2 linked regions of the Rattus norvegicus genome follow. The protein of the gene in region 1 purifies or fractionates together with the protein of each later gene. This does not show direct contact. Links are inferred from orthologs where the notes say so. Each region holds a gene or a part of one and is shown on either strand. Other genes may lie near its edges.

What was found. Proteins that work in one complex are often made in the same cells at the same time.
Region 2: the proteins of Snrnp200 (region 1) and Snrnp70 fractionate together in Homo sapiens (co-fractionation; 3 studies listed by BioGRID, with this or other methods). This does not show direct contact. The link is inferred for Rattus norvegicus from reciprocal best matches to the Homo sapiens genes SNRNP200 and SNRNP70.

The regions. Positions count from the first base shown.
Region 1 is NC_086021.1:134,891,695-134,895,768, forward strand, and holds part of Snrnp200 (U5 small nuclear ribonucleoprotein 200 kDa helicase), read left to right. Parts: coding exon 1-132; intron 133-437; coding exon 438-575; intron 576-876; coding exon 877-1,032; intron 1,033-1,513; coding exon 1,514-1,684; intron 1,685-3,712; coding exon 3,713-3,906; intron 3,907-4,074. UniProt on the Homo sapiens protein: Catalyzes the ATP-dependent unwinding of U4/U6 RNA duplices, an essential step in the assembly of a catalytically active spliceosome. Plays a role in pre-mRNA splicing as a core component of precatalytic, catalytic and postcatalytic spliceosomal complexes.
Region 2 is NC_086019.1:105,009,746-105,014,567, reverse strand, and holds the start of Snrnp70 (U1 small nuclear ribonucleoprotein 70 kDa), read left to right. Parts: upstream 1-1,716; 5' UTR 1,717-1,900; intron 1,901-1,989; exon of another isoform or gene 1,990-2,311; intron 2,312-2,577; 5' UTR 2,578-2,587; coding exon 2,588-2,734; intron 2,735-4,822. UniProt on the Homo sapiens protein: Component of the spliceosomal U1 snRNP, which is essential for recognition of the pre-mRNA 5' splice-site and the subsequent assembly of the spliceosome. SNRNP70 binds to the loop I region of U1-snRNA.

The sequences.
Region 1 (4,074 bases):
TTTACTCAAGGAAGCCACTTCATGGCCAATAAGCGCTGCCAGCTTCCCGACGGGTCTTTCCGACGCCAGCGTAAGGGCTATGAAGAGGTGCACGTGCCTGCTTTGAAGCCCAAGCCCTTTGGCTCAGAAGAAGTGAGTGAATCACCTTTTCCTTTCTCTGCTTCTCTCTTTCAGTTTGGCTTTTAGTCATTAGCTAAAATGTCACCATGTCTCAGATAATTTATTCTAGTAGTGGTAACTGTTTCAAAGTTTTCCCATTCTAAGACCAGGAAGCAATAATGATCTCTCTGGACAGGTTTATAATGGAGAATTATGAATGGTGATTGTCAGGGAATGAAGTCATGGGGAAATCAAAGTGAAATCATAGTAATCTTATAAGGATGGGCAACCTGCTGAAGAATCCAGTTGCATAAAGTATGGGATGTTTCTTCCCTTAGCAACTGCTCCCAGTGGAGAAGCTGCCAAAGTATGCCCAGGCAGGATTTGAGGGCTTCAAAACGCTGAACCGGATCCAGAGTAAACTCTACCGTGCTGCCCTGGAGACAGATGAGAATCTGCTGCTGTGTGCTCCTACTGTGAGTACTGGCCTGTCTCCTTTTTTCTCCTGCAGTGATTTGGTGGCAAGTTGAATCCTAATCTTTATACTAGGCCTTACCTTTTTTGGTTGAGTCAGAGTCTCTATGTAGCCTTGGCTGTCCTGGAAATCACAATAACCCTTAAACTCAAGAGATCTGCCTGCCTCTGCCTCCCAAGTGCTGGGATTCTCTGTTCTGTAACAACCCACTGGGTCAGTGTTACATGGGCAGTCCTGGGGTCAGTTCTGTTTTGGTGATATCCCTAGCAGATAAACAGTTTTTGTCACTGACCCCTCTGTAGGGTGCCGGCAAGACCAATGTGGCTCTGATGTGTATGCTCCGAGAGATAGGAAAACACATCAACATGGATGGCACTATCAACGTGGATGACTTCAAGATCATCTACATAGCTCCTATGCGGTCCCTGGTACAGGAGATGGTGGGCAGCTTTGGAAAGGTGAGTCTTCTCCAGAGGATCCTGCTGCAGCTTCCATGTGGTAGGGAGGGGCCTATGCATTACCGCTGCTTTTGTGAGGGAATCTCAAGATATTTTTTGCCATTTCCAAGGTAGAATTTGACCCACGTAATTTCTTAAACAAAAATGGTGTCGCTGCATCTTACGGTATTTCTGTCAAATGAATGTGGTTGATAGCTTGTGGGTTGTTGCTCTAGTTCCACTTTCCTATGTGTGTCCACTTTCCTGCTGTACGTAGGGCTTTCATAGTCTTTGCCTCATCTAGCCGCGTGGAATTTAAGTAACGTTTGTTCATCTTTCCTGACTCACCAGATATGTAACGTCTCCTTGTCTACAGCACAGTAACGGCCACCAGGCCCTTCAGGCACCGTCCCCCATTCTTAGACCTTAGGCAAGCTCCCTCCACTGAGCCGCACCTCCAGCCCTGTCACTCATTTTTGCTGGTGATCCTTTCTTTCCCCAGCGCCTGGCCACATATGGCATTACTGTTGCTGAGCTGACTGGGGATCATCAACTATGCAAGGAAGAAATCAGTGCCACACAGATCATTGTCTGCACCCCTGAGAAGTGGGACATCATCACACGCAAGGGCGGGGAGCGCACCTACACCCAGCTGGTGCGGCTCATTGTCTTGGTGAGTGGGGAGAGACGTGGGAAGGAGAGAACAATGTGGTTAGGAGCGCTTGGCGGTCACTCTAGTTGGTGGTGTGAACCTGGGGGAGCGGGGCCTAAACATGAGACAGACTAAAGTAGCCAGCTGTATTCCAGAGCATCGGGCAATTTATACTGTGAGGATTAAGAAGAATCACATGAGTAAGGTGTTCAGTTATAAGGACAAGGCCACACATGGCAAAACCATGTTTTACCATAGAAGCATATGAATAACAATAGTAATATAAACTCATTTCTATCCACTATACCTGGGAGGAGCATGGAAACATGTTCCAGGAACAATGATCATAACACTCTGGCGCACTCAGAACTGTCACACAACTATTCTTGGACTGTATTATAACAAGGGAGGTGGGGGGTGGTGGGGTGGTTTGGTTTTTAGTTTTCTTGTTTGAGACAGGGTTTCTCTGTAGCCATGGCCGTCCTGGAATTGTCTTTGTAGACCAGGCTGGCCTCGAACTCACAGAGAGCCACATGCCTCTGCCTCCCAAGTGCTGGATTAAAGCACTAGATGAGGTTCCCATGCCCAGCTTTCCTTAAGGCCCTTCTATATGACTTTCTTTGCAAGAGTCATTGTGAGCTTCATTGTTGCCATTAAAACCTGAATCTGCATGTAACAAAGGCTGCCCAGTCATGCCTGGTGTTTGCCATGTGCCTCATCCTCTTTATAGCTTTTTTTTTTTTTAATTTGGCTTTTTGGGAAAGACTTATGTATTTCCCGGCTATCTTAGAACTTGTTCTATAGAATATGAAATATTTTGAATCAAATGGGAACACAAAAATAATTCTGTCCTCCAAGAACATTGAAATGTTTCTTTATAAATAATCCATTGTCACAAAGGACAGGTAGGAAGTGGGACTTTGCATTCGGTTATGTGGAAGTATCCACAGGGATTGGACTTTGAGCTGAGGGTTGAGTCTGTTTTGTTGTTGTTGTTGTTGTTGTTGTTGTTTTTCATTAATTGCATTTGTTTATTTTCTGTGATTTGCATAGTGTGTGTGTATGTGGAGGGCAGAGGAAAACTTGTGAAAGTCAATTCCCCTTCCACCATGCATGTTCTGTGAGTCAAGCTCAAGCCATCAGGGTTGGTAATAAAAAGTGCTTTGCCCTTTGAGCTGTCACTAGCTTCTGAGGGTTGATGCGTTAAGGTGTCTAAGAAAGGAGTTCATGTTCTGTGTTCAAAGTGGAAGTTGGGAAAACTGTGGCCTTAAGTTTTTGTTTTATTGAACACAGTTATGTACATTGGTTTGTGTACTTTTTATAGCTATTTTTGTCTTGCTGTGGCTGTGGCAGAATTGAGTATTTGTGGCAAGGGTTACATGGCTCATGAGCCTACAGTATTGCAGGTGCAACACCAGATGTTCAGAACTTTAAGAGAAGTTTGCCAACCTCCTTTTTATGGTACTTCATGTCTCTCCCACAACTGCTCCTAGGGGTGCTGAGTCCCTGGCCTGCCTACACCTTTGAATTCCATCTTCACTTTTACAGTGTCTCCAGATCTTCAGTGCTTACTGTATCTCAGAGGCACTGCTGTTGGCACTGTAAACTTATTGTCAGTAAAGCCTGGTAGTTTTTGATCTTGATGAAGAAACCTGCCCAGAGGGACGGTTTGGCACTCTAGCTGTGTCATGAACCTGGGAGAACCGGTCAGAGCCGTCATGTATTTGTAAGGAGATTTGTGGTAGAGTGGAGGATTCATGCACAAGTGCTAAGCAGTCTGCACTCAGTGTAAATTCCTACTAAAAGCTGCTTTGTTCTTCAGGTCTCTGGCTTAAGACTCCCTCTCTTGTCCTCATTAGGCATCTTAAGATGTATACGTGTACCGTGGACTAGTCTCAGGGGGGGAGGAGGTACAGTTTGCATCTTTCTGTTCCTTTCTTTTTTTTTCTTTTTTTCCGGAGCTGGGGACCGAACCCAGGGCCTTGCGCTCGCTAGGCAAGCGCTCTACCGCTGAGCTAAATCCCCAACCCCCATCTTTCTGTTCCTTAGGATGAGATCCATCTTCTACATGATGACAGAGGTCCTGTCTTAGAAGCTTTGGTGGCCAGGGCCATCCGAAACATTGAGATGACCCAAGAAGATGTCCGACTCATTGGTCTCAGCGCTACCCTCCCCAACTATGAAGATGTGGCCACCTTTCTGCGCGTCGACCCTGCTAAGGGCCTCTTCTACTTTGACAACAGGTATAAAAAGAAACTGGAAACTTGTTACCAAGGCAGTCTTCCTGTCCATTACCCTTCTCTAAGGAGCACACTAATGAGTTTTACGGTTCTTGTGTGTATTTTAGAAAGTATTATTGTTTCAATGGAAAGTAACTTTCTCCACAGTGTTCTCTGCAGAAATCTCATTTG
Region 2 (4,822 bases), on another chromosome or scaffold:
AGGAGCAAGAAGACAAGAAAGAGTGAGGAGGGGGCAAGCAGCCCCTTTTACAGTGAGTCAGGCACACCTGCTGTTGCCAGGTAACTGTGGGGCAGAGCCTAGACAAAATGCCAACACATCTTTCACTGCATAAGGTGTTCAATACCATCTTGGGTTGCTGGGTTACCCTTGTAACTGTGTGTGTGTGTTTGAATTTGGTCTCTCTATCATGTAGATAAAGATCTACATCTAGACCTGGAACTCCATATGTAGCCCAGGCTGGCCTCAAATTCCAGAGATCCACCTGCTTCTGCCTCCAAAATGCTGGGACTAAAGTTGTGTACAGCCAAGCACTGCATGTTGGAGTGGGTGGAGGCCAGAGGTCAACCCCACCAGGTTTTTGGTTTTCCTCAGTCACTGTTCACCGTAATTATCCAGACAGTACCTTTCACTACACCTGGAATTGGCAACTGAGCCCTGGAATCCTCCCCTCTCCACCTCAGTGCTGGGGCTTTTTCCTGGGTGCAGAGGTGTGTGGGTGTGGAACTCGGGTCTTCATGCCTGTGCAGCAAGCACCTAAATAAGCTATCTCCCCAGCTCTTTTCCTTGTTTTCTTGAGAGCGGCTTCTCTGTAGCACAGGCTAGCCTTTAAACTACAAACCCTGGGTAGTTGCAAGCTGTAAACCCAGCACATAGACAGCTGAGTCAGGGGGATTGCCAAGAGCTGAAGGTCAGGGTGACTGCAGAGAATTGAATTCAGGACCTCTGGATGGAGCAGTCAGTTGTGTTTAACTGCTGAGTCATCGCTCCAGATCCGTCATTGCCTCAAATGAAGAAAGAAACAGAAGAAGGAAGGAGGGAAGAAAGAAAGAAGAAAATGGAGAAGGAGAAGATGTAGAAGAAAAAACCTGGAATTGTGTGTTTTGTGCCTTGGTCCCAGCACTGAGGAGGCAAGAGGTAGGTGGGTGAGTTTGAGGCCAGCCTAGTCTACACAGTGAGTTCCAGGGCAGCCAGGGCTACACGGAGAAACCCTGTGTCGAAAAACAAAAACCAAAAACAAACACAAGAACACCCATCAAGAAAATATATATACACATATTATCGCGTATGTATGTATATATAAACATATATAGATAAATAACACACACTGATACAAAATGCAAAATCATCTTGGGTTATATGGTGAAACCTTGTCTGAAAAAAAAAAACAGAACACATTAAAAAGGAAAAAAAATACCAAACGGATGGATCTTTTCTCTCAACAATGTGAACTCCAGGAAGGAGAAGAGTATTTTGTCATGATCTGCGTCCCCCAGACCAAATAGTGGCTAGCACATACGAGAAATTTGGGAAAGAGTTCTCTCTTAAATAACATAACTGCAAAGACCCTGTTCAGGTACGCACTCTTTGACAGACTGCGGAAGGATATGTGCACGTGCATTACCTAGACGCATGCGTCGAAGGTCCGGGAAGTGTAAGGAAAAAGGGTGGAACATCTGTAAGTGTCTCGCGGTCATAGGCGGTTAGCTAGAGCGCGAGGTTGAGACTGACTTAGGTCCGATAACGCATGCGTAATAAGGTCGCTGGGCCGCGGAAGCTTAGGCATTTAAGGCGGCCTATAGCTTTTGCGCGTGCGCAGTGCCCGCGGTGTGGCCGGACTTGTGTGAGGGTTTCTTTCGGTTCCTATAACACATGCGCAGTGAGAAAGGCGGAGGGATTCGAGTCGCATTCACTCCCGGTTCTGATCGCGAGCTGAGGCCGCGCGGGTTGCGAGGAGAGGCCTGGTTTGCGCGCGCTGCGCGGACCACAGTGGATACCTGACGCGGGCACCGCCGAAGTGGAAGCCAGAGCGGGAGTTTTTGTTTGTGAACGGCGGCCGCGAGGCCTGAGACTAACGTCAGGCCGAGAAGAGCGCCGCGCGGTGAGTGAGTGGGTGAATGAGTGGCCTTAACGGGGTGTGGGGCCGCTACCCACAAACCCTTGCGGGGCCCCGAACCCTTTCCCCGGGGCTGTGGCCCGCTTCCCGGGTCAGTGCCTTAGACTTTACCCCCTGCGTTCCCCATCCTTTACCCAGAGTTCTCTGGGCACTCAGGCTCTCTTTCCCTCAGAGTCCCCCCTCCCCCAATCTCCTGCGGTCCCCTACCCACAGGCCCTTGCGGTTTGTGTGTTGCTTTTTTTCCTCGCCTTTTTTTTTTTTTTTGGTCGCATCCTGGACCTCTACCCATAATTCCTTTCGTCTCTGGCATCCTAGATATTTTACGCAGAGGCCCCCTGGCTTACGGGATATTATCCTTATGGCCTACCTTGAAACCCCTACTTCGTAATCTTGAAGGTATGAAGCGAGCAACCTCTAGAGCTCGAGGCTTCAGGATCCCTGGGCCCCACACCTCCTGACTCCTTTTCCTCTTTGTTTTCTGTGTTATTAGCCTTTCCTTTTTTTAGCTCCTGCCAAGGCCTTTTTTCAGGCAGGGGATAGCAGCATCCAGGAAATCTCACGCCTGTTTTGTTTGTTTTGTTTTGTTTTGTTTTTTGAGTGGAGGGGTCCTAGAAGAAACCTGTTCTAAATAAAGATTGCTAACATAACGTTTCTGGTCTTAGATTTGGGAAGATGACACAGTTTCTGCCTCCCAACCTTCTGGCCCTTTTTGCACCCCGAGACCCCATCCCATACCTGCCACCCCTGGAAAAGCTGCCACATGAAAAACACCATAACCAACCTTACTGTGGCATTGCACCATATATCCGAGAGTTTGAGGTGAGCACATTGGGAGTGTTCGGCTTCTGGGTGGGGGCGGGCTACCTTGAGGCATTCAGCTTCAAAACCTTTTTAGTTGTGTGGTGCGTGCGTGTGACTTGTACTGTTTCTTATATTGTTTCGTGCTTTTGTGTGCGTTTTAATTTTTTTTAAAGATTTATTAATTTTGTGTATATGAGTACATTGTCACTGTCTTCAGATACACCAGAAGAGGGCATCAGATCCCATTACAGATGATTGTGAGCCACCATGTGGTTGCTGGGATTTTAACTCAGGACCTCTGGAAGAGCAGTCAGTGCTCTTAACTGCTGAGCCATCTCTCCAGCCCGCGTTTTAATTTTTTTATTACACTTTTGTATATGTGTGGGTGTGTATGTGCAAACCGGTGAACATCAGAGGACAACTTGCAAGAGCCCATTCTCTCCACCTTGTGTGTCCAGGAGCTGAGGTTTTCAGACTTGATGGCAAGAGCTTTAACCTGAAGAACTATCATCTTTTGGTTGAGTTTTGAGACAGGATTTTGCTGTGTGTGTGTGTGTGTGTGTGTGTGTGTGTGTGTGTGTGTGTGTGTAGAGCTCAGTGTGGCCTTGACCTTATAGCAGTCCTCTTCCTCAGTCTTGTAAATGCTGCAGGTATTGCTTCCAGGAGTGGTTCATTTCCTCACAGAGTTAATATCTTTTGTATGGATATGGTAGTCCCTTGCCCAAGTTTATTGGCTAGATTGGTTACATTGGCAAGTGTATCTCCACCCTGTCTGGGTTGTTGTTTTGTCCTGCGGGAGGGGAGTTGGGGGTGGGGTGGGGGAGTGGTTACAGTCTTTCGTGGAGTCTTGGCTGGTCTTGTAGATTTCCCTTTGTCACTAAGGCCAGCCTTGAACTTACGCTTACTCTGCTCAAAGAGCCAGAGTTCTAGGTCTCTACCACTAACCCAGAAAACATCATATGTAATGCATTAGGTTAGCTTTAGCTTTAGCAAGAGGTAGCAGTAAGATGAAACCAGTGGAGAGCTGAGTCACAGAATGTCTGTTAAAGGATTTGGGATAAGGCAGTAAATGTCTGTGTTTGTCATTAAGAGGACAGGGTTGCATACACGACATGACTTAGCAGTGAAAAGTGATTGTTGCCAAGAAATCTGAGTTCTGGTCCTAGAATCCACAATGAAGGAGAGGATATGCTTTAGCATGTTGTCCTCTGATCTCTACATGCACAGTGATACATATACATCCTCATCTAAATAAACAAATGTAAAAATAAAGTGGTTTTTAAAGAGGATAGTGTTTGCTGGGGCTGAGCAGTGCGTCCTGCAGTGCTTGAGGCTAGGAGCTAGGGGTTGGCTCTGTACTTGCTGAGTACATATGAGTCACTTGAGCTCCTTGGAGTCAGTTCTCTTATGCAGAAAGTTTGTCATGCCCACCTTCAGAGCAGACCTAAGAAACACTGCCATATAGCCAGATGTCTCAGGAAGAACATTCTGACATTAAGTAGGAAAAGTAGAATTTACTAGATAACAGAAAGGTGATTCTTCAGTAATATTTGTCTACATGCCACTTGAGAAATGTTATTATCCAATAAACATTTACTTTAATGGGTACAGCTCAGTGGCACCCTTTTTGCAGATCATGTGCCAATTAGCATTTAATGAGAGCCTGGAGAGGATTTTATGACTTGCCATGGTGTTACAGATCGTCTTGCTTTGGAGGTCTGCCCTGCCCACCATCCTTTCAGACATATTTCTAACATTTGGCCCTCTGTGACAGGGTTCTTGGCTATGGGAAGGAACTAGGTAGCTTTGGTACTGTACCTTACAACCATGTTACCTATATCATGACAAATGTCAAATGTCTACAGGCATTTAGATTGATGTTCTTTTGTCCTGAGCTTTTTCTGTAGGCCTGACTGGACTCCCAACTCAGAGATCAGTTTGCCACTGCCTCTCAGTGCAGGGATAAAGGTGTGTGCCACCATGCCCAGCAATTGATGCTTTGGGTAAATACCAAAGATTGTTTCTATGTTTGTTTTTTAAAAAGGACCTTTAAAAAGACTTAATTTTTTTTATGTCTAGCAGACATAGTTAGTTGGACTAGGCAGA